2 linked regions of the Bombyx mori genome follow. The protein of the gene in region 1 purifies or fractionates together with the protein of each later gene. This does not show direct contact. Links are inferred from orthologs where the notes say so. Each region holds a gene or a part of one and is shown on either strand. Other genes may lie near its edges.

Region 1 (16,967 bases):
CGCTCTTGGACATTGGCAATGCCGATATAACCGCAAAGGACTCCTCAACCTTGTTCTTTTATTTCCTTTCTAGGTAGACGAGCATAGGCCCGTCGGTGAGTGGTTCTTCTTCTTCATCATTGTCCTCACTGCCGAGGATCGCGACCAAATGTGACTTTCCTCCACACTGAACGATTATGGGTGGTATGGACCGCATGGTATATACTACCACAAACCCTTTCTTCACCAGATCTGACCATCAATTTTTTTATTGCTTTGATAGGTAGACGCGCTCACAGCCCACCTGATGTTAAGTGGTTACTGGAGCCCATAGACATTTACAACGTAAATGCGCCACCAACCTTAAGGTATAAGTTCTAAGGTCTCAATATAGTTACAGGCGGCTACCCCACCCTTCAAACCGAAACGCATTACTGCTTCACGGCAGAAATAGGCGGGGTGGTGGTACCTACCCGTGCGGACTCACAAGAGGTCCTACCACCAGTTAATCTAGCTGGTGAGTGGTTATATATAACATAACTCGTCTACATGCTAATTAACTCACCCCAGTGACAGATCGATTTTGTAATTTGGCGGCTCGACGGCATGGTATTAAGCTTCCTATAGAAATTATGATGAAAATACACAGAAAAATTCCGAATTCTATACAAACAAGGGTAGCAACGGCGGCAGTCGCCGGTTAACCTACCGAATACGTCTTTGATGTGTGTGTAATGCAGGAATGAGTGCCACGTGATGCATGTGCAGCGTCAGGAACCAACAAACAGTCTGGAATTTAGCCTCGGGCCACTTGTGGTTCGGATCGTTATCTGAAAGAACAGATTATACTATGTATTTCATTTGTCTTACCGATTTCGTATGTGCAAAGATTTCTTATACGTATCATAGACATCGTTTTTTTTTTTCAAGTAATCACCGAAAATCGCGTTATTTCGTCTTTTTAGTTGTTAAGTGGTTACTGGATTCCATAGATATCTACAAAGTAAATGCGCCACACACCTTGAGATATAAGTTCAATGAGCTCAGTATGGTTACAACGGCTGCCCCACTCTTCATACCGAAACGAATTATTGCTTCACGGCAGAAATAGACGGGGTGGTGGTACCTACCCTTGCGGACTCACAAGGTCCTACCACCAGTAAAGAGATGCAAATCTTAAATGCAAGTTCTTTTAGTCGCCGCTTCGCGAATGCAATTCTCTTACCGGATCGGAATCGCGGCCCGCTGAGAAGATGCGTAAATAGACGTAAACAATGTTTAACTGTTTAGGCATATTTCAGGGCTAATGCAAATTACAATATCCTAACTTAATATTTATATGTCGGAGACGGTCATTAGTTTGGTAGCTAAACAAAACTCGTACGATTTCCGAGACATGGCAGCACGATTGCGGTATCTTCGAAACGGCTAACTTCGTGCTACGACAGAGCCTAGCCGATGGAGGCGCGTAGACGCCATCTAAATTGTCCTAAGACAACAAACGTATACTCAATATTTCTCTTAGCTCGATCACCCTATTCCCCCCTATGATGTCTAACGATGGTGTTAATAATTGTAGATTCTCCGACATACATAAGTGTATTTTTATTAATAAATACTCAGAGACGATCGAAGGGACATGTTTATTAAAAAATCTCACAGATGGCGCTGTATTAAATAGTATGTATATTTCTGTCTCATTCTTTGCTGGCTTCATCCTACACATTTTTGTATTTGTGTCTCTTACCTGTCGTTTTTTCCGTTGCATCCGGTTTGAAATCACAACGATTCTAAAGAAGTTTTCACTTCAATTATGTAGGTATCTCGTGAAACTTACTGAGTTCATCGAGCCAGTCCTGGGCCTCTTGCGCGGTGAAGTACAGTCTAGTCTCGTCGCGGACGTTCGCCCACGAGTCCGGTTGGAAAGTGTACAGCGGGTACACGCGCTCCAGCTTAATGCGGACGGACAGCAATTGTAACACCGAACACACGTTCAACATGAAGCCATCGCCTGAAATGTTTATTATTTTTATAGCTTAGATGGGTGGACGAGCCCACGGCATACCTGGTCAAATGCATTGCCGCGTTATTTTGTTGTTGAAAAAAAAACGATATTTCCAGTTTTTATTATTAACTAGCTGACCCGGAAGACTTCGTAGTGCTTCAATCGATAAATAAAATACCTAAACTTTTGGTTTAATAAACTTAAAACAAACAAAAGGAATCCGTCCGACGGGGGACACATCAGAGGAAAAACAAAATTGTTATTTTTATTTAATTCCGAGCATTATCATATTTATCTACCCTTTAAACCTTCTCTGGACTTCCACAAATAATTCAAGACCAAAATTAGCCAAATCGGTCCAGCCGTTGAGCTTACGGGCTCATTCTGAGAGAATTTGCTAACACTAGCCCTAGTAAGAGCAGTGCTTCGCTGAATCTACCACCGGATCGGAATCGCGACCCATTGAAGAGAGCCGGTGAAAAAATTAAGTGGGCTGTCTTTGGGTTAGTTCGCTCGTCGAACTTTCCTCGTAATCGACGATTTCGATGAGGATGGGCACCTGTGCGTAAGAGGCCTAAATGTACCGAGAGAGGATCCGGTGGATCCGACAAGACACGTTTCGTACGACGGCAACTTTGCGTTGTCCCGTCGCCTGGGTCAGATAGGGTTCTATTTTCCTATCGATATACTTATCTACATACATTTTGAATTCAAGGATGTAACACTAGTTGTAGTTGTAGTACTGTACAACGCAGTCAATCAACCTAACAAATTATCAAAAACAACTTCGACTATGAAACAATGAATATGAAGAATTACTTTGCAATTCGAATTGCCCACACGTATCGATACTTCAGAGAGGAGGCATTAACGTTTTGGTGACTGTGATCTCCGGTGCCCCATTTACGCCAATTAAGTAGCATGAACGCTAATTAAAATTTAAACCTAATATTCGAGCGACCGTGATGTCAACAATTTTTTTTCCTTTATTGCACATAGGCGGTGCGATATTCCTATTGAAATTCTCCTCAGGTTAGAGCCCCGTGAGCTCACCTACTCGTTCGACTATGCTGGCATAGCCTTAGGGCTACCAGATTAGGTACGAAAAATTTTTTTTTGAAATAGCTTTTGCCCGCGACTTCGTCCGCGCGGAATAGTTACTTTGGCATAACACTAAATTTTACCCGCCTCTTCATTTACGTAGAAAGTGAAAATATTTTTGAATAATATAATGTTATGGAGCTATTTAAAAAGGAAAAAAACCCGATTTTGAAACATTCTTTATTAGTGCTCCGCTTGTATTGGTCTTAGCGTGATGTTATATAGCCTATAGCCTTCCTCAATAAATGAGCTATCTAACACTGAATGAATTTTTCAAATCGGACCAGTAGTTCCTGAGATTAGCGCGTTCAAACAAACAAACTCTTCAACTTTATAATATTAGTATAGATATAGATTGCGCTAAACTGCCTTATAGCTTTATAAACGTTGAAAACAGTGATATAACGTATAATGCGGAATCAAACAGCTATTTTCATAATGTTAATTTTGAACTTTCTCATACATTCTGACTAAGAGTTACAAAAGTTTTAGTACAGTAATCTTTGTTATGATGGGCAGAGGCGAATGGCCGCGGCGATGCTGTCAACCTTGAGACGTAAGATAATAGTCACAAATACACGAAGAAATGAGAATTGACGATATTAAGTGACAGAACAAAAAGAAAAGAAAAAAATACAAAGTTATTTGGCAAGAATGAAAATGTACCTCGATCACTTTCTAGGTATTGGATTGAATCCAAATAATGAAATCGTACAATCTAAATACAGGTGTGTTCGTGTTAAATTTTGTATGTCTATACTACAAGAGTCTATATTGCATTTAAATGGTAAAGTGTCATATGAAAAATTCATGTGCATACATAATAAACAGTATTAAAATCATATTCCAAGGAATGAAATTTCACAAGTTTATCACTGTATTTATGTTGCTTGCTGAAGTGGACGGGGAAAATATTATGTCGAGCGAAAAATGCAGCGCACTCCTGGTTTGAATGGTTTTGATACATTTTATGTTTGAATTTCAAATCATAGCCTTCGATTTGTTTACTATTTTAAAACCGCCCACAAGCATGTATGTACCTACATCGAAGATGTTTACAAACAAAAAACATTAATATAATTATAGTTAAGGTGGATCAAGCCAAAACACTATTCTGATGAAAAATATCTATTTAATAGAAAAATATTAAAAAAAATACATTTTACGAATTTGGTAAACGTGTTACGTATTAAGATCTTGAAATAAAAGTATATAATCACATTTCATCAGTACCGAGTGCAAAAAAACAATAAGTCCTCATTTCATCCACAAATGCGCGGATGGAGTTACGCGATACGCCTAGTATTATTATTATCTAGTTACGTAAAACTACATATTGAATTCGTTAATTGAAAGACTACAATTCTATTTGTGTCAGAGTCGACGTTGAATTAATAGCACATAATGTTCTAATCAGCATTTTGTTTGCCGAAAGTTACAGTAGTGAATGATCTACTGTGCACGCCAGTACTTTTCCCGAGACACTTGCGATCGTAAACATAAATATTTACACGGAATCAGTTACAGTGTTACAGCGGTTCGATGTAGGGAAACTTATTATTTGGACTAGAGGTGGCTAATATAACCAATAACCAATAAATTTACCGGTAAAAAAAATTAACACTTCTATTCGATAAATAAAATTACCCAAAACGGTTAAAAATACCGTTTACCAAACACACTGCGTGTAGTGGCATAGGCAATTATTGGAAATTATATTTATGCAAGTTTCAACTTTATTTCAACACGTAAGATTCATTTTCGCCTTGCAGATGTCTTCAACTTATCATGTAAAAAATATTGAATTTTATGATTTCATTGTATGCTCTATACCCCTCAAAATAAAGCACAATATTTAAGTTGGTGTATTTTACAGTTAATGATAATTTTTTTCGTTAAAAAATTGAAATGAAACGATATTTTTACCGAACGCGAAGATGACGTGATTGGTTGATTTTTTAAACGTAATATTTTGTTTGGTACTTGACATTTTGGTGGCTCAGTGCATCTTTTCTATTATTTTGGTAAAGTTGTGTTTTTGTATTTTAAGAGATTTGTACTTTGTGTTTGTGTGTTTTGACTTTGTTTTTGTGTGTTTGAGACTTTGCTTACTTTGTTGTTGTGGATTTTTAAATTGTATATCTAATTTAAAATGCCGAAACGCAATGCAGAAATATGGGATCATTTCGAAAAGTGCTAGTACCATTCAAGTTTAACATTAGCAAAATTAATTTTTCAACGAAAAGATTTACCGGTATTTTCAACCAATAAAAATATCGGTAATTTTTTTTATCAATTACCAGTTAACAGATAAATAAATTCAACCGTTAACGCCATCTCTAATTTGGACCGAAGCCAAACGTATGTTTATTAGACAGAGACGAGGTTAGCGGCATTTCAAAGAAATCCAACATTTTCAACAAGTCATTCAATCGTAATTTTGCTAATTGATATTTTTATTATGTTTCCAAGACATTGTTGTGTCTTGAAGCACTATCGTGGTCTTTACTAGAAAACGCACTAAAACGGTTAATACGTAAGAACTAGATTGGCGTAAAAAGACAATGGAATGAACACCAACAAATGTAGAAAACAAGGAAAAAGGAGTAGGGTAACAAAAGACATATTTGGTTATTTAGACCGACTCTGTGGAGCAGGAGTTAGCGTCCCTAAATATCATATATTCGATTCCCGTATTTAGCAAATCTTCATATGATGCACAAATTTATTTGCTCTAGTCTAGGTGTTTAATTTCGATGTGTATATATTTTAATTTATATAAGTATCCATATCAGTCTCTGACTCTCATAGTACAGGGAATTCTAGTTTGGGATCTACTCTAGTAATAGCAATTAGTTATGTAACGATTTATTGAAATTAATTAAATCATGAGTTTTTTTTTAAATCTTCATCGAGCTCCACTATTATCAGAGGTGATAAAACTGAGCTCGACAATTTTTATTTTCAATGTTACTACAAGACAGAGGTAGGTAATGCTACAGTCAAATCACTACCTCAGGTTTTATATAATGCTAACAATACCCTGTGGACAAGTCACACATTACTAGATAACTGTGTGTGACTTGTTCCTCAGATAAAAGAGGTGCTCGATGAAGATTAAAATAAATATGATTTAATTAATTTCAATAAATCGTTACATAACTACCGGGCGAAGCTAGTCTATAAAAATTTATAAGCCTAAGTTACTCCTTATATCATCAGCTATCAGTGAAAGTCTCGGCAAAATCGATCCAGCCGTTCCAGAGATTAGCCGGAACAAACAGACAGAGAGACAGATAAAAATTGTATGTACTGTATAAACTGTATATAAATTCATATGCATGTACTAAAAAGCGGTTAATTCAATATTACAAACCGACACTCCAATTTTATTTATATGTATATAGATTTCGTTACGGGGATCATTTTTAACTCACCAGCGAGCGTACGTTCATCAGTCTGCAGTTGTGCGCGTCGTTCATTTCGCTGCAGTATGGCCGCGAAATAGTTTAGGAAAGGCTCCCTAGCCTCGGGACAGACCAGGATATTATGACAGATGTTGTGCAGAGTATTGCGACTGGCTTCCACTTCCCGTTGCAGAGCAAAGGCCAAGCTTCTGTCTCCGGTTCCCGAAGAGAACAGACGCTCTGCCAAACGGGGGTTCTCTTCCGCGAACAACGATATCTGGAATTATGAATCTTATTTAAAAAGCTTCTCATTATTTATTTATTTCTTATTCCTACACTACATCTCATATGTTTGTGAACTCGGCAATACAATAAAGATGTTAATAAAAAACTAGCTGTATCCGTCCGCTTCGCTGGGCATTTAAAATGAACATTATTATTTCTCACCCCCACAAAGATTCTCATCATTAACGCCCCCGCAACTGGTGTAGGGAGTCCAACACTCATATAAATATTAGCCTATCCATTAAGTACATGTATTTTCTACATGTATACCAAGTTTCAAGTCAATCGGATGCATGGTTCAGTAGTTATAACGGAACATCCGTAAAAACCACTGTAGTCTGTAGATTTATATATTAGTATAGATTATGTGAAAAAAAAAAGGCTAATGATGGGTAATGGGTAATGAAACTCACTGAGAAGAAGGGCCCGAGGAAGCTCACGCGTGCGATCTCGCGGCCCGGTGCTGAGGTGACTGGGTCCGGACAGAACGAGGGTAGGCGCGCCAGCAGCTCGCACACAGGGCGGCGCGTGCCACGAGCCCCCGCCCGCACCTCGCACAGCGCGTGTAGAGCTCGCAACGCCGCCCCGCCGCACACGTGGCCCGTGCCCAATGCACTGCGCATCTCTTCACGAACTCCAAGCACCAGCCAAGTAAACACCTGTCCGATCCCATCATAGATTACGCTTTTTCATTACACTAAATTCAGGGATGGGCAAATATTTTGATAGTCGGGCCACATTGCAGATGAAAATTTGACCTCGGGCCAAAGGGTTTTTTCTAATTTTAAGTATAGTTTTTGCTAAGAATGTCAATTGATGAATTTTTTATAACTTTTAATTAAATTGTGCGACTATTATACATACTGTAATTGTTCAATTATCATAATTATATTTTCGAATAGGAGGCGCTGAAATTTTGATTCCCACCGGCATTTATGTTAGATAAAAACTAATATCTGTGTTTTTAATAATATATATATATATACAATGCTTCACGGGCCAGACAAAATTCTACCGAATCCGGTTCGCGAGCCGCCATTTACCCAGGCCTGCACTAAATGATAGCTGCAATTATGTAACGATTTTGGTTACTAATTGTTGGTACTTGTAAATATTCAATTTAAGAATATCTGTCACATTTACATATAAAACGACATATTAGTGACATTAGAGTTTCGTGGACCTAGTTTCAAGATTATTTTTGGATGGGCAGACAGATAGGCCTATAAAAATTAGTGTTACTTAGAGCCTTTAAAAACCACAACGCGGATACCGGTGCCCACCTTGAGCCATTAACTAGGGTCTTATTGGCAAAACGTGATAACTACTATTATACAGGCGATACTATAGATAGAATCGAGCACAAGGTTGTTTTGCAGCACAAGAAGGCAGAATGCTAACACCTATTCTGTCAGAACGAGTTCCATTCATGTCCTTAAAAGAAATAAAATTATTCTAAAGATAATAACTACAGATTTATTAATATTACAATTCAGTATTTAATAATACATCCTATACTGTAACATAATTGTGCTAGTATACTTAGAGAGGCAATCTTGTGTTGTCTTGATTATCAAGATTTTATTGTAACTATCGAAGTCTATAAGCAGCAGGTACCTGCTTTGCTGACGTCCATCAGCTTCGGTGACTACTCACCACTACATGGGCTTTAAGCTCATTTGCCCACAATAAAAAAAATTAGCAGTCATCACGGCCTAGGGTGTTAAAGGACGAGACGTCCTCATATATTGCGTGGTGTTTATTTTTATTGCTTAGATGGCTGGACGAGCTTACAGCCCACCTGGTGTTAAATGGTTTCTGAAGCCCATAGACATCTACAACGTAAATGCGCCGCCCACCTTGAGATATAAGCTCTGAGGTCTCAAGTATAGTCACAGCGGCTGCCCCGCCCTTCAAGCCGAAACGCATTATTGCTTTACGGCAGAAATAGGCAGGGCGGTGGTACCTACCCGTGCGGACTCACAAGAGGTCTTACCACCAGTAAAATGGTACTATGGATGGTACTATGTTCGTTTTCAAAACCTGCACGCAGGTCCCATTTTTGCTAATCAAATACAATATGCTTAGCAACATATGTTCAGGACGGTCTTGCATGATCCAAGAATAATGTGGTAATAAAGACCGGATCCGCAAGTATTTAATTTTCGTAATTACTGCTCATAGGACGCATTGCGAGGGTAGAAACCACTTCTTATTGCATTAATGAGCAACTGAACCCATAACTCAGTTGGTGTTTAATAGTTACCGGAACCCATAGGTATCACAGCATGACCCCACCCATTTTGAGTCATCAAGTTGACTAGTAAAAATTGTATTGTATTTGTAAGTTTATCAGTGAATCTCAATGAATTATATCTTCCGTAGAACTGAATATAATAAAATATTTATATTATTTTTCAAGAACACTAGTTTTGCTCTTGGGTGTGTTTCAAATCTTAAGACATTTCAAGTATATTTCGTTAATTTGATAGTTAAAAATGTGATTTAATTCCACAATATACTAATAAAAGCAGTGGAATACTTATTGTAGTGTATTAGTGAAGATATTTGTTGTCCTTTTAATAAAAGGATTGCGGAGTGCAGGTTGTATAAAGACAGACACACAATGAACAGATACATTACCCAACATATGTGCATAAGTTCATAATTAAATAATAAAACATAAGTTATCTTTTTGCTAATTTGTCTGTCAAATACAATGTTTGTTTCAAATTCAAATTTCAAATCAATAATAATTTAATAATGCAATAGTTATGTGTTTATTGGAGTAGGTTCAAATTTAGAAGTTTTTTTCAACTTTTTATTTGGTTTAATACAGCATATTTGTGTTCTTACTGTACTGGTTGGTTAACTAAGTTTATTTATAAATGAATATAAACCAATTTATATCAATGTAGTTGTTTGTTAGATAAAAACAAACATATACCATTATTTCAAATCCAATAATTGGTTGAATTTAATTCAATTGCAAGAAATCTTGAATATCAAATGTTGGTAAACATTCAAATCAATAATTTATATTTCAATTTAAATGTCATCATAACATACTTGTTGAATAACAAAACTTGTAAACTCTACCACTGGTTCCAAAAAGAATTACAGTACTGAGAACAACCAGTGAAACAACAAACGCAGCAAGCCTGGACTATCCATTATTCAAGATATTTGTTAAATAAGTTACATTATAAAGGTCCTTACCTCATCAAATATTTCTTTATCAAGATATGTAGCAAGCAGTAATTCTGGGATGAGGCCCGTTGGTGCATTCCCAATCAATATGTAAGGTAATAATGGTGATTTCCTGCACTTTTCCAATTCGAACCTTCCTTGTAACACTAGTACCAAATGATTGACCAGTATAGTTCTCAAACTTTGGAGCAAATCACTCAAAGGTGGTTCTGAACTCTTCTTGGGGTGTTCTCTTTCATATGAGTTTACATTATTGTAGAATTGAAGTAAATAACTAACAACTAAGCCTTGTGTGGGCATCGTTTTCTGGATTGGTAGGGCTGGTGATGGGCATTCAGGTTTATCCGCATCTGTTTCTACACTTGTTGAATTGGACAAAGAGTCCTCACCATTCTCCTCATTCAAGTTCTTTGAAGTCTCAATAATTGCAGTAAGTTTTTGATTCAATGGATCACCACCATCTGCTATTTGTATTATGACATCCATTAAAGCTTCAGATATGAGCTCAGTCAGAGAAAGTTTTGGATTATCAAGTAACGATGCTGCTACTGTTGGCACAAAAATCCCACCTGCATACAAATATTCTCTCTTTAATAAGATTAAGTATAAGTATTAAGTACAGAAAAATTAAATGTGACAAGTTTTATTCTAGAATCCTTTAAAAAACATATCTTGATTTCATAGAATTTTAAATTGAAAGAACTGTTTTAAAAAAATAACAATTTTGTTATTATTGCAAAATATTATGGATTGTTTCCAAATTAGGTAGGAAAGATTATTTCCAAACATTAACTTTCCTTTCATTCCTAATTAATATATATTAATTTACCTGCACTGTCATCTGACCATGAAACTTGAAGAATCTTTGATACAATGGTGCGTAATTGCTCTTCTGTCAACTCTGTGCAACTGACAGTTCGAGATCTATGTATTTTACGTGCCGGAGATGCTGATGAATCATCTTCAACCTTAAATTACACAATAGGTTAGAAACAATTTTACAACAAGTTACATTGGATTTTCGGTTCTTTGCTACCTCCATTGGTTCTTGCTGAGCTTCAGATTGAGAATTTCTTTCAGACACATCATCTACTTCCATTGACAAAGAACGACGAGAACAACTTGGTGAAGCATTTGTTTGTCTTGGTCGTACAGGTGATGGCTCAACAAACTGTGGTGGAGATATTGATCTTGATGTGCTATCTTCCCTTGTAGAACTCCCTTCTGAACCAGCAACAGTATTTTGCGGTAAGCTTCCCACTCTCACAGACCCACAACTTATCAATGTGTCATCACCCATTGAGTCAAAGCTACTGTACTGTCGTGTTTGTGTAAGATCTGTCATTTTTGTGTCTGGCATTTCATCCAATATATTGTTGTCAGTTTTTTCTGTTACAATTAAACCGTCTGCTGATATTTTATTTTGATCTGATTGATCTGACCTGACTTCTTCTGAGTAATTGGGCTCTTGATTTGCATTCGCTGTGTCAGGAGTGGTGGGTTCTGTAGAGCTTCTAGTTGAAGGAGCTGGGGACAATCGTAAGGGTTGCTGTGGACTGTGTAGGTCAGGAGAAGGAATTGAGGCGCCAGGGGTTACCGGAGGACTAGCTGAAGTAGGCACTGATCCTGCACTATTAAGAGCTGCGAGACGAACCAGGCGTCTTCTTCGTATCTGTAACGAATATTGACATCTTGCAGCACGTGTGAGTAAATGACAATTGCTGGGACGTTCACCATTGACGCTTTGTTTTGTTACGAAATTAGATTGGCCATACGTAGTAATAGACGGTCGTTTAAAAAAATTATTTTGACTTACCTCCTCTTGGCTCAATTCACTCATGATGAAAATTATAGAGTAGATTTTTCTATTAATTTGTTCGGCCTATTCTGTTACGTTAATTTTTCTTTCAATATTTTTAAGAAAAAGAAGCACAAGCCACACAACGAGTCAGTCACCTCGCTCAGCTGTTTGACGTTTGAGGCTGCACAGTGCACAATGACAATGACGAAGTTAATAATGAAAATACACGCGTCATCTTTGTAGATGAATTAGTATAAAGAGTATGTCTCTTTTTGTGATATTTGAAACAACGTAAACAAAAAGAGATAGCACCAAATATGACATTCACCCACTGTAAAAATGTTACCCTAGCAATAAAATCATTCTAGTACTATATAATTAAAGTTTTTTTTAATAATTTTCATACCTACCTACTTTTAGCATTACCCTTCCTGGAGGGCTGAGCCTTTGCTCGGCCAATGGCTCAAAATAATCCGAGTAGAATATTTAATTCTTACACAAACGCAAATCTGTATATGTGTAACATTTATTTGATTTTTGCGGCATAACGTAGTGTAAGTGATTGCAATATTAAAATTTAAAATAATAAATTAATGTGTTTAAAAATGTGTAAGTCGTATGATTTGTTCCGAACTTTTCCCTTTAAGTAAATGAATTCAGTCAATTCTCTGCAGTGTTTTCCTGCAGAGCTGCAAAATCCTGTTATTTGCCATGAATAGGTACGTACGGACAGTAACCAGAAAGAATAACCTGACTCATAAAAAAAATCACATTCACAACTTCTCTTCACTGATACCAGTCAGTCACTTACTTTTTGCATGGAAGTAAGTAGGTAGGTAGGTGAAATAAAAAAGGCAGTGCCTAAAAGTCAATTTAAACGGGAAAAAGTGGCAAGAATAGTTACTATGAATTTATAAAGAGCAATAGCGAGACTGGTAATTTTCGGGGCAGGATTTGGTTAGTTCTTTTAGTTCTTTACGTGTCTCTGCTTGTTTTGAGAAAACTTTTTTGAGGGTAGTACGATTTACAAAATGATATACCTATTAGTCCCAATAGAGGTAGGTTTTTTTTCTAATAATAGTAAATGTATAAATGATCTTATACTAGTCAATAATAAGCATATTTTAACACCATTTATTGACGATATTTTTTGGCCATTAATTTATTATTACATTCCATAATTTGATCTAATGATGACAAAAGTCTACATTTAACGATTTTTGTTTACTCTTTGAACTTAAAATGAAGAAGTTTTGGGTTTTTGTAATTTAGTCTTGAATTAACATGAATAGTTATTCTGTATCGTTATTTATATGTATTCTTCTATTTTTCTACTGTACTTGTAGATAGACGATCATGCGGCCTACTTGATGATGAGTGGTTACCGTAGCTCATGAAGACATTCTGTTTAAAACTCAAAACTCACTATTTAAACCCCACAATTTTTTTCTGTCTGTTTTAACGTCGACGTAGCCTAAAGGATAAGATATCCGTTGCATTCGTGTTGAGCGATGCACCGGTGTTCGAGTCCCAGGCGGGTACAACTTTTTCTAATGAAATACGTACTCAACAAATGTTCACGATCGACTTCCACGGTGAAGAAATAACATCGTTTATTACGAGGGCGGCACTAAAAATTTCGGGAATTAACGAAGTGACACAACATTACTATTTAAAAATGTATTTATTGCTTTTCGAAGTATTCTCCGCGAAATTTGACACATTTTTCCATACGATGGAACCAATCATTGAAGCAACCATTCCATTCGGAAGTTGGGGTCTCCAAAATGGCCGTTTTGTAGGCGTCCACAGCTTCTTCAGGTGATGAAAATCTCTGTCCACGCAATTTATTCTTTATTTTAGGGAAAGTATAGAAATCATTAGGGCTTAGGTCGGGGCTGTACGGCGGATGGTCTAATAATTCTATGTTTTCTTGCTCTAAAAACTCTTTTGTTCTGTGCGCGGTGTGAGAACTCGCATTGTCGTGATGGAGGATGATGCGGCGGTTGCAGTTCTCTTTACGGAGTTCAGAAACGACCTGTGGCAAACAAATGCTAGCATACCATTCTGCATTAACCGTTCTTTGTCTCTCAAGAGGAATAGTCGTAACATGGCCGGTTTTGGAGACAAACGTGGCCACAATTTTTTTGAAACACTCCGTGAACGAACAATTTTTGTTGGCTTTAACTCATTTTCGAACACCCAAACTCGTGACTGGTTTTTTGTTTCGGGTTCGTACGCGTATATCCAGGATTCGTCACCTGATACAATGTTGTATACAGCATTTGAGGATCCTGCGTGGAATCTTTCGAGAGTTCTGACGCACCAAGTAACGCGAGCCGCTTTTTGCTCTTCACAGGGCGAATGCGGTATCCATCGGGAAAACAACTTTTTTACACCTAATTGTTCATGCAAGATTATTTGTATTTGACTCATGCCAATGTCTAAAGTTGCCTGAATTTCGCGGTATGTCACATGTCGATCTTCCTCAATCAGCTTACGCACAGCATCAACGTTTTCTTGGGTGACTGCAGTTTTTGGACGACCTTGACGGGGATCATCACTGAGCTTGACACATCCACGTTGAAACTCAGCAAACCAGCGATAAATTGTGGTTTTGGATGGGGCTTCATCACCAAATGCAGAAATCATCCGGTCAACACACTGTTTTTGTGTTAAACCACTTCGAAAGTCATAACATATCATCGCTCTTGAATTTTCTCGAGTCAATTCCATTTTCTCAACGACTAAACAAGTTTGACAAAACCTCGTGACAAGACCGAGAATCTTTTTTTAAATAAATAAATGGTATTCGATTTTTAAAATCAAGGAGTTTTCAATTAAAAAGATTTTAATATGACAGGAACAGTGGAAATATTCCATTCCCGATACTTTTAGTGCAGCCTAGTAAAAATCAAACCGCAAGTGTTGCTAACACTGGCCCTAACATCTACTGGTGGTAGGACCTCATGTGAATACTGGTGGTAGGACCACTTGTGAGTCAGCGTGAACCACCACCCTGCCTATTTTGGCCATGAAGCAGTGATGCGTTTCGGTTTGAAGGGTGGGGCAGCCGTTGTAACTATACTTGAGACCTTAGAACTTATATCTCAAGGTGGGTGGCGCATTTACGTTGTAGATGTCTATGGGCTCCGGTAACCACTTAACACAAGGTGGGCTATGAGCTCGTCCACCCATCTAAGCTTTGATGTTTAATGTGTTTTAAGCAAACACATACTATGTTGTTTGCTTTCCCTATTATTTTCGAAAGCCATAAAAGAACCATAAATGGCTTTGATGAAATGTCTATGACCCGAGTTGAAGCTGATGATCAATTTAACTTTGTCGTACACGAAAAAGAAAAAGATAAAAGTACACAAAAAAAATTATATCACACGGATTCTTCAATGTATCTAATTATAATAACTATGTATAGTTCAAAGTAGGGAAGCAAGGGTAGTTTTCCAATTACAGAGCATAATGCGACTCAGTGGGACACAATGCCGAATTATGCTGAAGCATAATTGGAACGTGAATTAGTTTTCAAATGCATCAGCAGAGTGCGCTAAGTTCAGTATTGAAAAAAATATATTCAAACCTCATTAATGTATAAATAATGTAGTGGTAAACAATAATAATTGGTTGAAAACTATTTACGGTTATTTTAAGTAATTTAGATTTTGATTATTTCATTAACACTTTTTTAAGTTTTGAGTAATTTTTATAAACGAGTTATAAGAAAATTATATACTTTTTAATTGAATCATCTTATCCAGATGATAGTGTTGACGATGATTTATCGAGTGCTTCGAGTTTAAATCAATTATTTCATTAACAAGTGATATACTTATTGAAAATATATATGATAATGAAACAGATGAGTTATTTGAGCCATTAATAAAATATCTGATGACAGGCAGTACTTTTGAGAGTGCTCGATTGTGCGAAGCGTTGCTGTAGTTGGACCATTCAACGTTGAGCATTATGCCGCATAATGTGCTGTAATTGGAAAACTACCAAGAAGATTTTTTTAAATACCTACATTTGTGAACCATAGATAATCTATCAATCCTGTGTCAATGGCCGAATGTTATTAACTTCATTTGTTTACATTTATCTTTTAATAATTTGTTTAAAAATCGTTGACTATCAATTAAGTCGACAAATATACAAACGAAATCATGACTAATAGTAATTTGAGTGAAACATTGATAGAGGTTTGAATTCATAATAATTTATAGCAGTGATGGTGATGAACTGCGAGTGTAATAGTTTGTTCTGAGTCTTTTAAAAAACAAATCTGGCTTTCCTTGAAATGAAAATTTCTGACAAAGGCGACAATATGACGAATCATCAAGTATTAGAGCTGATATCAGGTCTAAAATCTCGACATTCAGAAACAAGACACCGAGCTGTGCGAGAGTTGCTACATTTTGCCAAAACAGAACTGCGGGAAATGTCTCAGGATAGTTTGACCCAAATTTTAGATGATTTCAACCAACAGATACACGATATGACCACTAGTTACGATAACAACGAAAAAAAAGCTGGAATTCTTACTATAGGTACATGATAGAGGTTATATTTTTCTATTGGCCATGATTCACATGTCTTTAATGGTTCCAAATAATTAATCTATTAACAAATACAGAAATTTTGGAGTAGGTGGTGCTAATTTAAATAAATAAAATGTTATAAAATATCTTTTCAGTTTGTCTTATTGGAGGTGATACAGAGACCACCAAAACAAGGACAATACGTTATGCAAATTATCTACGAAATGTGTTTCCATCTACAGACATAAATCTCTTAGAATTGGGTGCTAAAACTATGGGACGATTAGCTTCCTCATTAGGAATTAAAAGAGGAGAATATGTGGAGACTGAAATAAAAAGATGTTTCGAATGGCTAGCTGAAGAAAGAAATGAAGGCAAACGATTATCGGCTGTTTTAATTTTGAGAGAACTGGCTATATCTATGCCATCATATTTTTTTCAGCAAATAAATGGATTCTTCAATCATATCATGAGAGCACTTAGAGATCCTAAAGATCAAATACGAGAAGCTGCAGCAAAAGTTTTGAGGGCTGCTTTTGCAGTAACCTCTCAGAGAGAGCAGCCAGAGCAAAGTAACAAAGCTCATTGGTATATTCAATGTTATGAAGAAGCAGAGACATCAT
Region 2 (17,471 bases), on another chromosome or scaffold:
ATTTGAAAAAAACTGGGTACCCAAAAAACCTCCTCCTACCTCACGAGCTCACTGAACGAAACCTAATGAACCGTATACTCATTTGTGATTCTTTATTACGACGTAATGAAACCGAACCATTTTAGAAGAAGCTGTTAACTGGTGATGAAAAGTGGATCACGTACGACAAGAACGTGCGAAAAAGGTCGTGGTCAAAGGCCGATCAGGCTTCAGAGACTGTGGCGAAACCCGGGTTAACTCGCAACAAGGTGCTGTGTGTGTGGTGGGATTGGAGGGGCATTATTCATTATGAGCTGTTACCACCAGGCAAGAACTCTACTGCGAACAACTGATGAGATTAAAGCAAGAAGTTGAGAGAAGTGGCCGAAATTAATCAACAGAAGGGATGTGGTTTTTCATCATGATAACGCTAGACCTCACACATCTTTAGCCACTCAGCAAAAATTAAGAGAGCTTGGCTGGGAGGTGTTAATGCATCCGCCGTATAGTCCTGACCTTGCACCTTCAGATTTCCACCTATTTCGGTCTTTTCAGAATTCATTAGGCAGTGTCAGGTTAACATCACGAGAGAACTACCAAAACCAATTGTCGCGTTATTTTGATCAAAGTCCCAAAATTTCTATAGCAATGAGATTATGTCCCTACCTACAAGATGGCCAAAAGTTTTCGAACAAAATGGTACCTACATACTTTAGTTAAATGTAAATAAACTATGTATATTAAAAAATGTTGTGAATTTTCTTAAAAAATGCGAAGAAACTTTTTCCTCAACCTATTAGATATGCCGTAATAGGTTGTCGATTACAGAAACCTACAATCGACTAAAAAATTGAATTAATTTAGGAAAATATCGCATGATTAATTAATTCATGAAAGTATGAATGTGTGTGTGATGCTATTAAGAAAAGACTGCCTTTTTGAAAACTTCAGCGATTATAATTTTAAATTGTCTTCAAGATGTACGCTGTTGCAAGCAGCTTCATGTTAAGATAAGCAGAAAGGGGGTTGCCTGCACACGTGCCCCGCTGTCGTGAGTGCCCTTACACTCGAAGGGTCGAAGCGACGTGGACGTGAATAAATTACATTGTGAACTATAAAAGTGGTCACTCATAGTAATTCGCATTTGATAATGTACATGGAAAACTAAATGCAGATGTGAATGATGCTATGTTCTGTAATACATATATCATTGGAAAGCTTAAAGTTGCAATTGATTCATTTGATTTGCCCTCGTCATTTACCAGTGTCTAATAAACTTCGAAGACAAAATATTAAGATCAGCTAAAGTTCCTACCGATGGCACTGCAAGACCCTGTATAAATGAGAAGCAGTCCCGGCATGATGAGGCCCTGAGCTGACGCCTGCGCTAACGCGTTTGTATCGTCTTTCTTATTGCGTTAACAGGGTTCCGTCTTCATGGAAGACCGCCCACGTCCACCCTATCCCCAAGAAGGGTGACCGGTCGGACCCATCGAGCTATAGGCCTATGGCGATAACTTCCTTGCTTTCCAAGGTGATGGAGCGAATTATAAATATACAACTCCTGAAGAATCTTGAGGATCGCCAGCTGATCAGTAATCGACAGTACGGCTTCCGTCACGGTCGCTCAGCTGGCGATCTTCTTGTATACCTTACTCACAGGTGGGCTGAAGCCTTGGAAAGCAAGGGCGAGGCTCTTGCTGTGAGCCTTGATATCGCGAAGGCCTTGGACAGGGTCTGGCATATGGCACTTCTGTCGAAGCTACCATCTTACGGAATCCCCGAGGGTCTCTGCAAGTGGATCGCTAGCTTTTTGGATGGGCGGAGCATCACGGTCGTTGTAGCCGGTGACTGCTCTGATACCATGACCATTAACGCTGGCGTTCCACAAGGTTCGGTGCTCTCCCCCACGCTTTTCATCCTGTATATCAATGACATGCTGTCTATTGATGGCATGCATTGCTATGCGGATGACAGCACGGGGGATGCGCGATATATCGGCCATCAGAGTCTCTCTCGGAGCGTGGTGCAAGAGAGACGATCAAAACTTGTGTCTGAAGTGGAGAACTCTCTGGGGCGAGTCTCCAAATGGGGTGAATTGAACTTGGTTCAATTCAACCCGTTAAAGACACAAGTTTGCGCGTTCACTGCCAAGAAACCTGCCTGAGAAACGAATACTACGATAGAGAATTCTGGGGTGATTTTCATTACCCGGTTTCTGTTTCAATTATGGCAGTATTGTCTTATATTGACGTTGCGGTTTCAAAAATAAGTGCCCCTTTTACATTGTATATTATCCTCAATTAATATTTGTAATTGAAAGGTCAGTGAATGAGGCTGATCACCCATGGTTGGCCCAAGAGCTCGACAACCTTTGAAGGTCATAATTGGCGGTAGGCAGCGGCTTGGCTCTGCCCCTGGCATTGCTGAAGTCCATGGGCGAAGGTAACCACTCACAATCAGGTGGGCCATATGCTCGTATGCTTACAAGAGCAATAAAAAAAATTAACTCAGCAGAGACAGTTCATGCAACATATTTACCGGAGCATATTAGTAGGGCGCGAACATTTAGGGCGTCGTCCAGTAGACCCATTTCATGCATATGGTTCAATTGTGTTGTAAAATTATCTTCCCTTCCTCCGGGACTTTGAGATGAAGATGCTACAATTAAAATTATAATTTGAACGTTGTATTACATTTAACAAATGTACCATAACTAGAATCGTTATTGTCCAAGTCAGTAATAGAACAAAAATGTCAACAAAATGTGGTTATGGTATTTGCATTATTTCCATGAGTCTGTCTGGTAGCTACATGAGACCATGTCACGCTTAAGCAATTTTATCAATTCAAATAAATTTGAATTTAAAATTCAACAAAAATTTATACCGTTGATACTCTGACTACAGTAGCCGAATATTCAACTGATACTATTAAACAAAACTAGAATGCTGAATGAATACCTGCAGTACTTTGTTCCATAGGTGTTCCATCACTTTGTCTATTGCTGGATCTGTTTATAGCTTCTGAAATAGCTTCACTGAACATTTCCGGAGTGATAACCGAGCGACTGGGGCCTGTAAGTGATATTAGTATTACAAGTGTTAAATATGTATGAAAATAATAAAAGATCATTTTGAATTCGGGTGTTTTATTTTTATTTAATTTTTTTATTGCTTAGATGGGCGGACGAGCTCACAGCCCGCCTGGTGTTAAGTGGTTCTTGGAGCCCATAGACATCTACAAAGTAAATGTAATAAATAATAATAATAATAACATAAGTGTTATTTCAGCATTCTTGTTGAAAGTCAAAATGAACTCTACCACCAATTCAAAGAACACATGGAAGAAGGAACACAGCTGGCTTTCTTATTCTTATTTGCCATCATACTCATTATTTAAGACAAACTTCTGAATAATTTAAATACCAAAATGAATTGTCAACATTGAGAAATTATTTTAGGGGATAATGAGACTTATTAAAATAACAATTAAATCAGAACTGGTTCGCTCAATCCACTATGAATAGTATTCAAAAGTGTGTACCTGAGGTCTGCGTGGAGGAGTGCGGTCGGGAGGAGTCGCCGGCGTGCAGCAACCGCAGCAGGCTCTCGTGACTGCCGCCGCCGCTCCGCGGAGTCGACACGGCTTCCGTGGCCGCCTGCCACAATCCGTAACTTACATACTATTACTTAATAAAAGTTACTTAATTCCTCCAAGATCTTGCCACTTAAATATGAATCACATTAGATAAATAATGCTTGTTCATGTTTATGTGAGTAAAATAATATTTACACGCCCTTATTAGGAATTTCGTGAATCCCCCGATATTTAAATCCTCAAGAAGCTCAAAGTGATGAACTGCCATTCGACTGTTAGTAATTAATCACGAAAGCCCTCTGACAATTTGGAGGAATTGATTATGTCACAAAATTTAAAAGAAAAGATGCAGCCCTTTATATTTCATTATCAGAGTGTTGTAACACATCAAGATCTAACATCATGCGCTATTACATTACAGGTAGGGAAAAATAGAAAGCTCTCTCTTGTCATAGAAAGTAATGAGGCAAAGCGGTGCATTGATGACAGAGAAATATAATTAATGTTCTTAAGGGACCTATAAGTCTTGTCTCACAGTCTCTCACCTGCAATGCTGCTGCTAACTGTTCTTGAGTTATTTGGTTTCTTTCACCATTTTCATCAGTCTCCTCATCTTCACCATCTTCATCTTCAGACAAAGCCTCCAATGAATATGCAAATCCAGATGTGGGTGCTGAAAGTGTAAGTTAACAGTGTTATCTGTGATGGATTGGTGTATCAAGACAAGAAATGTTAATATTGTAGTCCTATTATATCTGGCAAAAGATCTAATAACAAAATGAAAGTAAGTACATATTCTAGACTACTGAAACATGATGTACCACTCTTTTAATAAAATTGATTATATAAAAAGACATTGTTTTCTTGAAACTACTACCTCTACAGCATGCCAGTGACAGTACCTCAAAACATCTCTAAAGGTACCAACATCAATCAGCAACCAAGGCCATTTGTTAGGCAGTTTGACAGTGGATAGAGGACAAAGATGCATATACATTCATTTCTATTTGTTTAGATAGATAATATAAATAAGTTGATTTACTTCATTTGTCTATTATATATTAGAAGATAATCATATTTAAAGAATATATTCTATTCATATGTTGGAGCTGATGTGCAGTTTTGTTTGGTCCCTAAATAATCTTACCAGTATCACCAGGAGTAGATCCGGTTGAAGAGCGTGATCTAACAAGATTTGTGAGGTGTCTCAATGCTATGGGCAATTCTGGATGGGCTGTGGCACCCCGCCTCATTGTTTGTAGATTGGCACCCAGAGCTGCCAATAACTCAACCTCGTGCAATATTGAAAGAGCTACACAATCCTCTCCTAGTGATGGGGCCTGTTCTATGATCTCAGCCATAACAGAGTCATCATTTAAGAGCTGCAAATATAGGACTTTATTTAAAAATAATCTTTTTTACATTTAAATATAGTGATAAGCAACCTGGAAATTCAATTCGTGGATAATTCAACCAAAGTACAGCATAGAACAACAAACAGAGTATTCCATGCCATTTCCCAGTGACAGCCATTTCAAATTACAGTTGACACTTTAACCTTATAAATCAAAGCAGGAGGCAACAGGTCATGTTGTGGCACAGTCTCCCGAAACTACGGTGCGAAATCCAGGTGAGCTGATAGCTTCTCCACTCATTTAAATAAATACAAAATGACAATATAAATGGTGTAATGACCTGCATAGCTCTAGTCCAACCTGGTGCATTTGGTGTACATCCAAGAGTTCTCAGTGATGCATTTAACTGCTGCAGCTCAGCATCAGTGTAAGTTGGAGGTGCTGCACTGGCAGTGGTAGTCTTCTTTTTCACAACATGCACCATTTCACCAGACTTGACTCCACATTCTTGAAGTGTTGCCTTGTCTTTTAAGATTTTTCCGTGGTGAATTAATTCTGTTGGTATTAAAAAAATGTTTTACATCAAGATAATTAGTGACTGTAAAGATTGTTTCTGAACATTTTGACTTATTTATTACAGGAATATTAATTGGGGGTGTACTTAAATATTATAGCCATACTGTACTGAAATGCTGCCTGCACTATTACAATAATTTGAGACACACAAGTGGTGATGAGTGTATAATATTGTAAGGTTTATAGGGGGAAGACGGAGGAGGAGGTGTGTGCGTTGGTTGTTTATTGCATGTTGTCCTCCATAAACCTCATCAGAGTGGTCTATAAAACACTGAATATGATTACATGTTTATTCGCGTCAGTGACAGCGGTGGATCGCTGCACGTTGACCACTGACTGACTAACGTATGCTGCTCATTACTATATACACAATAACTACATAGTAAGCTAAGCGGGGCGGGGTATCATTCCCCTACAATATGAACTAGATTGAATTGTTGATAAAAATATTGTCTCGAAGCAAAGAGAATAAAAAATGAAGAGCTAAAAAAAGGCTAATTTTAGGGCAAGCAACGAACCAATAAAAACAAAAAGGAACAATAATTTCATGTAAAAACAAATAATATATTTTTACATGAAACACAAATATAAATTATTCTATTTATTATTCGACAAACATCTGCTTTGTAGATAAAATTATACTTCTCATTAGTCATACACATTTAAAAAACAAATTTTACATTTCAACTTTTGGTACTTACGTATTAGCGCCACTGCTGCAAAAATCCGTTAAACTTTCCTTTATGGTCTGTCGATTTTGGGTCAGGGTGGGGGTGGGGGGAGGGAGGGGGTAAGGGTTTACTCCCTGCACCATTCCCACCCCGCGGAACCCCATGGTTATGAAGACATCCACGGTTTTTTTTTATTTATTAAAATTGCATTATTTAGTCAAACTCAAATGGAGCTTTAGTTTGAATCCGCCTTATCTCCGGCGCTGCGGGAAGAGCAGCCCTTCCGCCTTTGCGTGCCGAAGCACGGTCACTCATGCTCCGTCACAGCGGGCGAGGACTGCTCTCCCTCCGCGCCTCCGGTTTTTTAAATACACTCTAGGGGTAGGACAGACAAGACCAGGTGGAAAGTGGGGTACTCTGATTCGCTTTTCCATATTTTTCGAGTTGTCCACACTTGCTAACCATAACATTTTTGCCGCGGTGGCGTTAATACGTAAGTACCCAATTTTTTGTTTATTTGATAGTTTAATCCGTATCAGTCGAAGCCATGAAAATGGAAATATTGAAAATCTAGATATGTAGTGTTGTATATCCACTCTATTGTGATTCTTTGTCTAATTCAATTTTTTCGAGGCTTTTAATACATATTACGATTTATACAAGAACGTACCTAATGACGATGATGGTACGTTGGATCGCTTTTCAGCCTCAGTTCTAAGAGAATCTACTGTATTCTCGAGTCCAAAATTCTCTAGTTTGTGACGTTCTATTGGTCCAGGTTTCACTTTTATACCCAAAAATATGCATGGCTGGTTATCCATTTCTTGTTGAGATTGCCTTTTAATATGACCCTATAGATAATTAAAGAAGCAATAAATTCTAAAAAAAATTATTTTAGTGACTTGCAGAAAGCATTATTTTTCACAATTTTCACATAAGTGACAGGTATGTATTATCATTATTATTTTTTTTAAGTGATTTTATGACCTGGTAGCTAAGACCTTTAGGTCAAGCCTTATTTTAATTTTAATGATACGTAACTTTTTTATATGAAAATGATATTATGAAATGAAAAGAAAGTTCATTATTATGAAACATGGCATGAAGTGAAATGAAAACGAAACGAAATGACATGAGATGAGATGATATGGGATGAAGTATAATTTCAGTAAAATGGTAGTCATTAACTGTGACTTTTTCAGTGGACTTTTTGGAAGATCCCGAGAAGTTACGTTCAGTGGCTTTGTTTCATTTTCCCACATTTGTGCACTTTCGCAGATACTAAATAGTTAATAAACCACAATTATTACACATTTAAATCTGAAGAAACACTAACTAGCCAACTGTACTTTTTTATGTTTAATGTATCGCACTGTTTATTAGTTTTTTGGTGTACAATAAAGAATTCTCTCTCTCTCTCTCTAGACAAAATAAAACAAATCACACAACTTCACTCCCCGCGTTCCCGCCAAAAAGTCTTAAAGGTCAGATTTTTTTTTAATGGATTTTATGACCTCGTAACTAAGACCTTTAGGTCATGTCTTATTTTAATTTATATTCATATTTTTAAGAAAAATGATATTATGGAGTGAAATGAAATGATGATTAATTTGAGACATTAATCAACTGGGATGAAATTAAATGAAATGAAATGGGATGAAATATAATTTCAGTAAAATGGTGGTCATCTACTGAGACTTTTTCATTGGACTTTTTGGAGGATCCCGAGAAGTGACGTCCAGCGGCTTTGTTTCATTTTCCCACATTTGTACACTTTCGCAGTTATTAAACAGTTAATAAACCACCATTATTACACATTTAAACCTGAAAAAACACTAAATAGACAAAATAAAACAAATCACACAACTTCACTCCTCGCGTTCCCGCCAAAAAGTCCTTAAAGATCAGATAGTAGTTATTTTGCATAGATAATACACTAAATATTTGAGAGATATTTTGTATATCCTGTGTAAAATATATTCTGTAATGAAAATGACGGATATGTCCATGCAAGGAAAATGCATAGACCTATATAGTTCATTGGGAAAATGATAATAACGAAATGTTTTTCGTTGGCATATTTAATAAAGTAACACATTGAAGTTAAAGGAACTTTCTTTTTTAAATCAACATTTTGGTCAGACGATAAAATGACTTGAAAATGAAGAACGGATGTCTCGATTTATCAGAGGCCAAAATTGCGGAGCGCAATGAACGTGCCAAGAAACTTTATCGGTAAGCAAAAATGTTCTTACACATAAACTTATTGAGAATAAGTTAATGATTTACAACGTAGTTACATTAAATGAATTCTAACATACGCTCCTATAGAAAATTAAACTAGAATATGTCTAAACAATTACGTAGCTATGCTAAAGAGTACTTGATTGTATTATTCCTCAACATTTAAGTATGTGAATTAATGTTATTATTGTTGATATTACGTCATATCGAATATTGTAGTTCAAGTTTTTATTTATTTATATAATCACAGTCTCACAATAAAGTGTTATTCAGATTACCAGATTTAATGATCATTCAGCCAATAAAGTATCGAACATACACTCTACGTTTTAATTTAAATAATATTAAGCACAGGCCGTACCAGTATCAATTAAAAATATTCTAATTTCAGCTATTTAAGTGATGTAGCAAGACGTATCAATGACATGTCGACTACAAGTAAATTTGTGGCAGACCTCTTTACTACTAACATTGAAGTCCAGAGACAAAAGCTGAGGGACAATTGTGAGAAGTTACTGTTTCTAGATCCAATTAATTACGGCAAGAAAGCACTTGAACTACTATGGAGAAAAGTATATTATGACACTATATCTACTGCCAAAAAGTTGAGAACTGATAGTGAGCATGACCATTTCCTGTTCACCCTCATCCAATGTGGAATTGGTAATTTTCACCATTTCTTAGATAGAATTCATTATGAAATGAAAGTAGATTTCAAGGAGTTAGATTATATGCCCAATACTGAAGAAGATGAGTTGCAACTATCTTCTGGTAATGTTGAACTATCAAATTTTGGAAAATCTGCTTTGCACTCATGTTTGATATATTTAGGGGATTTAAGTCGTTATGCAGTGGAAATATCAAATCACTTTGAACCAACAATTGCTGCTCGATACTACTTACAAGCTGCTCATACTGACTTTACATTGGGAATGCCTTATAATCAATTAGGAAACCTTTATCTTGAAAAAAATTACAACTTGGATTCTGTATGTTTTTATATTCACTGTCTTAATTCTAAAAATCCATTTGAAGGGGCCATGGGTAATCTTACAAAAATATTTGAGAAAAATGATCAGTTTTACCATACAATAAATGAATCAGATACTTTAACTCAGGTTGAACATATACAAAATACAATTGTGAATTTTCTTTCATTAATTGAGATATGGTACTTGAACAAATCTGATTCTGATATTCCTCAGCGCTGCAGCAAAATCGCACAGCAGCTAAAGATTTGTATGGAGTTTAATGAAGCCACACTTCCTGATATTGATAAAAATTATGATGATTATCTATCAATTTTGGAACATGAAACCAATTTTCCATCTTATTTAAATCCAAATCTAATACATCGTATGGTTCTGATTTGTTTATTCACAGTCTCAAAAATGACAGAAATTGATGAAACAAAAGCCTTTGCATGCAAAGCTTTCACTCTTGCTCTTTTGTCTCAACTTTTGTTGAAATTGCTTAAGCAATTGGATTCAATTGGTTTTGTAAATCCTAGGCAGATTCATAATTATGGATCTTCAAAACCACACAATGAACAAACAGAAAAATATGAGAACAATAATGATGAAAATAAAGAAATTATAGAAAGCACAGTGAACAATGGCCAGAATGCAGAACAAGAATTGGAGGAGCAGAAACAAAATAATGTAAAAGAAAACAATCTAAATGGTCATGCTAAGCATGCAAAGAAAGCACTTATGAAACGTCGTCGCCGTCGACGCATTGCCTCTTCAGAAAGTTCTGACGTGAGTGATGCTAATACTGAAAGCAGTGATTTAGATGAAATTGAACATTCATACAGCGACTTGTCAGATTCCTCTGATCAATCTGTATCACTTAGTGAAGCTAGCGATTGTGATGAAGTTAACGATGAAACTAAAGATGAAAGTAGTGAACAAATTAATGAAAAAGTAGAACCAAATAAAATATTGAATGATGATATCACCTCAAAGATTACAGAAACAAATTCACTTAATTCATCAAATTTATTGAATTGTAATACAACAAAATCTCAGGAAAACAGCAAAGTAAACACTATAGAATTGAAAACTTTTTTACAAGGAAACAATTTCATGGCCAGTATCAAGCTGTTGTTGGATTGGATTTTGATTGAAAAAGATTTAATTCTTTCATGTGGAGACAGCGGAGAGTCCTTGTTTCAATGCGTTGTAGATTTGTTAAATATTTTTACATTTTATTTCAATACAAAATCTGATGAGGGGACTAAAGAAGATTGTGAATTAATAAAGTACATTAGAAATTTAGTCATGAAAATGAAACTTGAATACAAGACAATACCCTTACCTGAAGATATAAATTTACGGGGAACAAACATTTGTAAATTTGATAAAGATGCTGCTGAATGGCACATCTTAGAAAAGTATAAATTATCTGTTTATGAAGAAAACGTAATAAGGATTCTTAACTTCATAGATTTTGGGAACCAGATAGCTAAAATTATACCCAGAATAAGATTTAACAGGACCATGAAATTGTTTTATCTAAAAAACATTCACCCTCCTAAATTGAATACCAAAATTAACCATAAAAGAAGTAGAGAATGGCATTCAAAGAAAAATGTATGTATATTTAATTTCCATAGAATTAACATCAATGTTTTTGTTTTTAAACTAACAGTTGTGGTTTTGCTTTATTTTTCAGACTGAATCGAATGAAAGTGGATTACTACGGCGCCTTGGTCGACTATGGTTGACATCACAAGTACGCGAGTTGGAACGCAGCGGACAGTCGGCGGCACCTGCATTACTCGTACTTGACACCGCAGCTCTTAACAAACACCTCCGTCGTGTCAAACAGCTCCTACTCACAACCAACTTTGTGCTCATGGTGCCTACAGTTGGTAAGATATCGTCTTCTCGCATTAAAACTGTATAATCTCAAAACTTACTAATTTTTTACAGGTGTGTTTTAAAGGCTTAACCAGGGACGTCTTAAGCTAGGATGGGGCCCTTGGGCACACAAGAATTTGAGGCCCTTTTGGAAAGTAAAAAAAGCAAATTATAATAACATTTTTTTACTGAGTATGACCATTTGTTATACGTAATCAAATACAGTATGATATAATGTCATTAATGATATTAGAATGCTGCTGGTTTTTTGATTACGATTTCGATAACGGTTTCTTTCGGGATTTCTGTTGAGCAAAATCTTCTATTATAGGCATAGTATATGCCTTCTAAATACCTCCTAACTACTGAAAAAAGTGTAATGTGCTCGACAAAAATGTTTTGAGAATAAACGTGTGAGAGAAATTGTCGGTCTTTCGGGGCCTCCTGAGAATGGGGGCCCTGGGCACGGGCCCCGTGTGCCCTTATGGTAAAGACGGTATTGGGCTTAACTTGTGATATTTTTAATATTAATCATATCTGCAACATTTAATTTTATTTTTTAACAGTTACACTATCTGTCTTTTAAAGTAAGATAAAATTATTTAATAATTTTCTTAGTAGTAGTCAAAACATAGATAAACTAAAAAACTAAAATAAACTACGCTCTTTTAACAGTATTTATGAGAAAAATACTGGTGATACCAAATGTTTTCGCATATTAACTCAATTTCGAATATTTTTGGAAATTGTACACTTTTAATCCGAAAAGACGATATGTCTTTTTCAAGTTTATGACTCACCTGATGTTATATAGCTGCTATAGTGATGGTAATTGCTTGTGCTAATAATAAATACAATAGTTTGCTGCTCACTATCTTGAAATGTAAGATCAAAATGACTTCTGCTGATTAACTGAAGATTGAAAGATGAAAGAAGAGAAAACCTTAAGCAATGTGTAATATATTTCCTTCATTATTTCAGTGCTACAAGAACTGGACAATTTGAAGCGAGAGCAGAGCACAGCACGTAAAGCTATCCGTTGGTTGGAACTTCAATTAAAAAATGGCTCAAGATTTCTACGAGCACAACGTCCGAACCAGTCAAAGCCCCTGCCGCTCTTGAAATATCCCCGTAAAGCTCCAGCCCATATTAATAACTTTATTCAGATTTTAGAGTTCTGCAATCATTTCGTAGCGGAAGATAAAAAGACGCAAGGATCCGGTGATGCTGAAAACGTTTTACAAGGGAAGTCTTCGTCCGTCCTTATACTACTCGTTGGCAATGCTGATGAAGATGAAGAACAGTATAAAGAATTTAGTGTTATGGGCGCAGCGCAATCGGCCGGCATTTCCGTAGAAAACATCGTAGATTTCTACAGCAAATGGCGACAGACATCGCATAAAAACGGTAAAAAGAGGTGAACGCGTGTCGATCACGAGACCGGTTTTGATCACTATGGAAAGAATGGACTTCGAGGATATCGATAAAACGTCAAAAAGCTCTTGCGAGGTTTTGATAGGACACGTCCAAAACGCTCACTATACACTATACAAAAAAAAAAAAACTAATAATGTTTTCATTGAAGGTAGCGCGGAAAATTTTCTATTGATGTATTGTATCAATAATAAATTTTTATATATCGGTGTAACATTATATAACCATCCATAAATTCATAATTCATAATGTATTCATATAGCATACGATTGGGAAAATTATCATTTTTAGTTCACATTGATTACAAACTACTCAACCGTTTCATTGCCTGTGTGCTACAACACCATTCAAATTAATTTCTCATTAGAATAAATTCGTTGTCATTGAAAAATAAAATTGCCTTTTATTTTCTGTACGAGAGTAACTTCGCCTGTTGCGATATGTATTACCAAAACGTGGTAACCAACCTCATTTTCAGCATTTCCAAAATTAATGCTTGGTGTAAAAACTGTTCTATAAACGGGGTAAAGGACAGTAGGCAATTGACAGCCTGCTAGGCTGTGTTAATTTTTTTTTGTTGGAAGTCGAGTCTGTCATTAACCCACATCTGCAGTATGCTTAGTGCGAGTTTTTTAATGTTCTCGATAGCGTAAAAGTTAGCCGAATTTTGTATGCAGTTGGAACAGCGCCCCTAGCGGCAAACGTAGGCAAACGATCCCATTCCATACAAATATGAGCTAACTCTTACGCTATCGAGAACGCTAAAAAACTCACACTAAGCACACTGATCGTCAAGTCCCACATACCCCGCGAGCCCCCTAGATGCGGGGACCCCGTAGGAGGTTCGCCCCAACCAGAAAAAAAAAATTCAAGCAAGCAAGCTCAATAGTAACCAATCGCTTGAATGAAGCGTCTATTCATTCAAGCGATTGGTTACTGTCGAGACAACACCGGATAGCGTCGATCACTTCAAGCTTTACCTGCCACAAGACGGCCTACTTCATTCCACTTCGATAAAGCGGCACGACATGAGAACCCTCTCATCGTGGCCGCCGGTAACTACATTCCCGATCCTGCGGACAGAATGGAAAGCAGTCAACGTCGCCCCAAACACGTCATTTCGGATCCTCCCGATCCACTAACGGTGCTTTTAGGTACCTCAAGCACCGGTCACCGTTCTCGTCGAACCCGTCGCTTGCGACGAAGGGCATGGCGAGTAAATTAACCCTCAGACACAGCCCACTGAGTTTCTCGCCAGATCTTCTCAGTGGGTCGCGTTTCCGATCCGGTGGTAGATTCTGCGAAGCACGGCTCTTGCTAGGGTTCGTGTTAGGAACGTCGTCAGGTTTAAGCCCAGTGAGCTCACCTACTAGTTAAGATTACGCTGAAATAGCCTCTCAAGTTTCTCAGCTTACGTAGGAAAAAAAAGGCCTACTTCTAGTTGTCGTCGGCTAAATAAACAAGGATTCCACATGACCACGACTGCTCTGCCAAGAGTAACCGACTATGATGAAACCTAACACGGAACCTCACGCATCTACGGATACCCAATCTAGGGGAGCGTTGTCTTTCGATAGCTTTTCAAATGCAGTTTCGCTGTTTTCAAAGCGAATCACTTACGGGAGCAGAGTGAAATCTCTCCTGTCCCGTACTCTGCTACAGCAGATCGGTTCGAATAGAGAAGAGCTCTATTACGCTCAATCACTAAACCAACGATAACCATTTAAAAAAATATTAGTTAAGTACGCAAAAAAAGATTATAAAATGCAAATTGCAAAATGCTTTTAATAAATACGCAAGTTATTGGTCGTTTGGTTAAATTTGAAAAATTCAAACAAGCTCAGAATCTAAATTACAATATAAAGTTGTTCTATAATTTAGGTATTTGTTAAACGTCAAAAAATGGAACTTCCTGGAACTGGAAAAAATGGATCTAAAAATAAAACAGCATCCAGGTTCAATATGATCATTAAAACATTTCTTTGAGATTTAGATGGAGATACCTAATTTTTGGCATGTTTAAGTAAGTATGATATGAGACGGTAAGCTTAGAATGATATTATGTGTCAATTGAATAACGCCAGGCCACTCTCTGACATAGTGGAGTAATTATCCCTGGGTCCCACGTGGCTCGGTCTAGGCTAACATCAGCAAGCTCGTTGACAGAGAGAAATTCACAGTGACGTGTTCGACTTTACAACCCCAACACATGTATTAGGTACCTACCTAATACTCTGGGATTCAGCTTCCCGGGAAAAGGAAGGATACTATCAAGACTGCAGAAGTGACACTTGTAGAGTTGTCCTATAGTTAGTTACTTAATTAACGATGAATGGTACTCGAAGTCAGACGAATGTGCCGATAACTTGATTTGAAGCAGTTATCGTTGCTATGATATTTGCAATATGATCTGAGGTTGTTCTCCACTTATGATTTATTGATCTTGAATGTTAAGCCCTGTTAAATTTACACCTGTACTATGTAAATTTTGTATAGTAAATCAGCAACTGTTTAGGAATAATCATGGACTGGTAGAATACTACTAGTCCTACTAAAGCAAGTTTTAAATAATTACAACAAAAAAAAGTAAGATGTAAGTATTATTTATTGTAAATCTTGTTTCCAAAATACTATGGATATAAAATAAGTTACGTAACAAAACACAATGAACTAAGAATGAGTACTTACTGAAACTTTATAAGCAAATTTAAATGTTTACTTACATAATCTATAAAATAAACTATGTTATTTAACAAAAAATAAAACGGTATTCTATACGTTACATGATTATTTTATATGATAAAAGTTAGTGGCGCGGATTCGCTGACTATTGTTGATCGAAGCACATACATTTGTGTGGATTTAATCAAATGCAACTTTTTAAATAGTTTATCACTATTAGATAACGAACTGGTTAGTGGTCTTATCTATTCTAAGAAAACCTTTAGATTAGTATAAAATTAGGTATTCTTAAAATAATATACAATAAAATTTCATGGATATCAATTGAATCCTTAAAAGCTTAAAAACTCATTGCATGTAAAACTAATTTGCATTAACTAAAACTTCATAACTTAACTATAAGTTCTATAATAACATTAAAATGTAGCCTCCCCCATCATTGTCCAGATGCCTCACAATTCTTACATTAACTGAGAAAATACATTAAAATGTACAAAATATACATTTGTTTCAACAATGTTTCAACAGTCTTATAATATTACGAATCTAACTATATTGCACAAAGTCTAAGGTTATATATAATATAAATACATTGTGTATCATCAAGAGCTTTCAATATTTTTTATTTTAAATATATTATTATGTACATAAAATGCAGCTCCTTCAACACAATCAGTGTAATTCATTGAGATTTCTTCTAATGCATTATTTTTTTACAATGTTTTTATATATAAAGTATTTTTACAACGCTTAAATTTATTATTAATACAGATATTCATTTTTATAAGTTAACATTCTCAAACTTAGTAACACTCCATTAGCAGCCTACTAATTGTATGAGCTGTTGAACTGTTGATCGATCCAACAGACACAAATCAAAATCAAATGTCTGAGTGGTGACTTCATAGCGTCCCGTTTCCGCTATTAAGTTCACGACTCTTTCTAGATCTTCATTATTTTTTATTTTCATGATTCTTTGTTGTAAGTCTCGAAGTTGCTCCATGTAATCCGGGGAAATATCCCCAAGTTCTGCATCTTCTCCTAGACTACTAGACACCCCATTATCTTGAACTTTAGTTTCCATTGACGTTGAACCACTACTTTCACCCCATTCAGTCTCATTGTAAGAAGGCCCTGATTCAGGTATGTTAGGAATTTTTCTTTCAACTTCTTCTTCAGCAGCTTTTCTTTTGCGTCTTTTTTCTTCTTTTTTTGATTTATCCTTGTGTTTTTTTGATTTTTCTTTATGTGGAGGCGGAGGAACTTCAGCTAAAGGTTGTGGGTCTGGTTTTACTTCTGGTTCTGGTTCAGGCTCTGGTTGAGGCTCAGGTTCAGGAGAAGGCTCTTGCTTTACTATTTCTGGCGAGGGAGGCTCGATTTTAACAATTTTGGGTTCATCGTCTTCACATATAACCGAATTTTCTGAATCAGATTGACTGCTGTTTATTTCCTCACCTTCTAAAAGCATAGGTTTAGCCACTCCACTTTTCGAACTACATTGAGATGCTGTATCAATTGATATAGGAGATGTTGGTTCGGGAAGTAGTCTTTCTTTGGGAATAGGTGTTATCCTATGTATAACTTTTTCTGTTGGTGTTTCTCTGGTTTTTTCGTGTTTATGTCTCTTTTCTTTACTAGAGTCTTTATGCTTTTCTTTTGACTCATCTCTCTTTTTATCTTTTTTCTTATGTTTATGTTTTCGTTCAGTTTCATTTTTATCTTTTTTAGGGGTTTCAGACCGTTCATCGATTTCTGGAGGAGGTGTTTTCCGTAAGTTTTCTATTGAGAATTTGTTAATTGTTTTCTCCGGCCTCGCTTGTTTCTCTTTTATGGGGGGTGATTCTTTTTCTTTGATTATGTCCTTGACCTTATGAGGTAGTTCCTTCTCTTTAGGGATTTCTTTTGGGGATTCTTTTGACCTGTGACTTTCTTTTTTGTGATCTTTTCTTTCCTTTCTTTCTTTATCTCTGTCATGACTTTTCTTTTCTTTTTTCTTTTTTTCTTTTTCTGCTTTCATTTCGTGTTTTTCATCAGGCCTTGGTTTTTTGTGATCCAAAAGCTCAAGA

What was found.
Region 2: the proteins of ubiquitin conjugation factor E4 B (region 1) and ubiquitin-like protein 7 purify together in Homo sapiens (affinity purification with mass spectrometry; 3 studies listed by BioGRID and IntAct, counting the BioPlex papers as one, with this or other methods). This does not show direct contact. The link is inferred for Bombyx mori from reciprocal best matches to the Homo sapiens genes UBE4B and UBL7.

What each region holds. Positions count from the first base shown.
Region 1 is NC_085109.1:10,808,453-10,825,419, reverse strand, and holds the start of ubiquitin conjugation factor E4 B, read right to left. Parts: upstream 12,041-16,967; 5' UTR 11,828-12,040; coding exon 11,804-11,827; intron 11,660-11,803; coding exon 11,024-11,659; intron 10,956-11,023; coding exon 10,817-10,955; intron 10,557-10,816; coding exon 9,997-10,556; intron 7,437-9,996; coding exon 7,191-7,436; intron 6,770-7,190; coding exon 6,523-6,769; intron 1,991-6,522; coding exon 1,817-1,990; intron 810-1,816; coding exon 689-809; intron 1-688. Other genes in the region: TOR1 (target of rapamycin), read left to right, coding at 16,619-16,967. UniProt on the Homo sapiens protein: Ubiquitin-protein ligase that probably functions as an E3 ligase in conjunction with specific E1 and E2 ligases. May also function as an E4 ligase mediating the assembly of polyubiquitin chains on substrates ubiquitinated by another E3 ubiquitin ligase.
Region 2 is NC_085127.1:4,571,597-4,589,067, reverse strand, and holds the start of ubiquitin-like protein 7, read right to left. Parts: upstream 7,604-17,471; 5' UTR 7,003-7,603; coding exon 6,852-7,002; intron 5,490-6,851; coding exon 5,275-5,489; intron 4,962-5,274; coding exon 4,727-4,961; intron 4,253-4,726; coding exon 4,125-4,252; intron 3,641-4,124; coding exon 3,526-3,640; intron 3,057-3,525; coding exon 2,943-3,056; intron 2,641-2,942; coding exon 2,521-2,640; intron 1-2,520. Other genes in the region: nonsense-mediated mRNA decay factor SMG5, read left to right, coding at 8,343-8,416, 8,817-11,019, 11,102-11,300, 12,271-12,710; protein ENL, read right to left, coding at 16,223-17,471.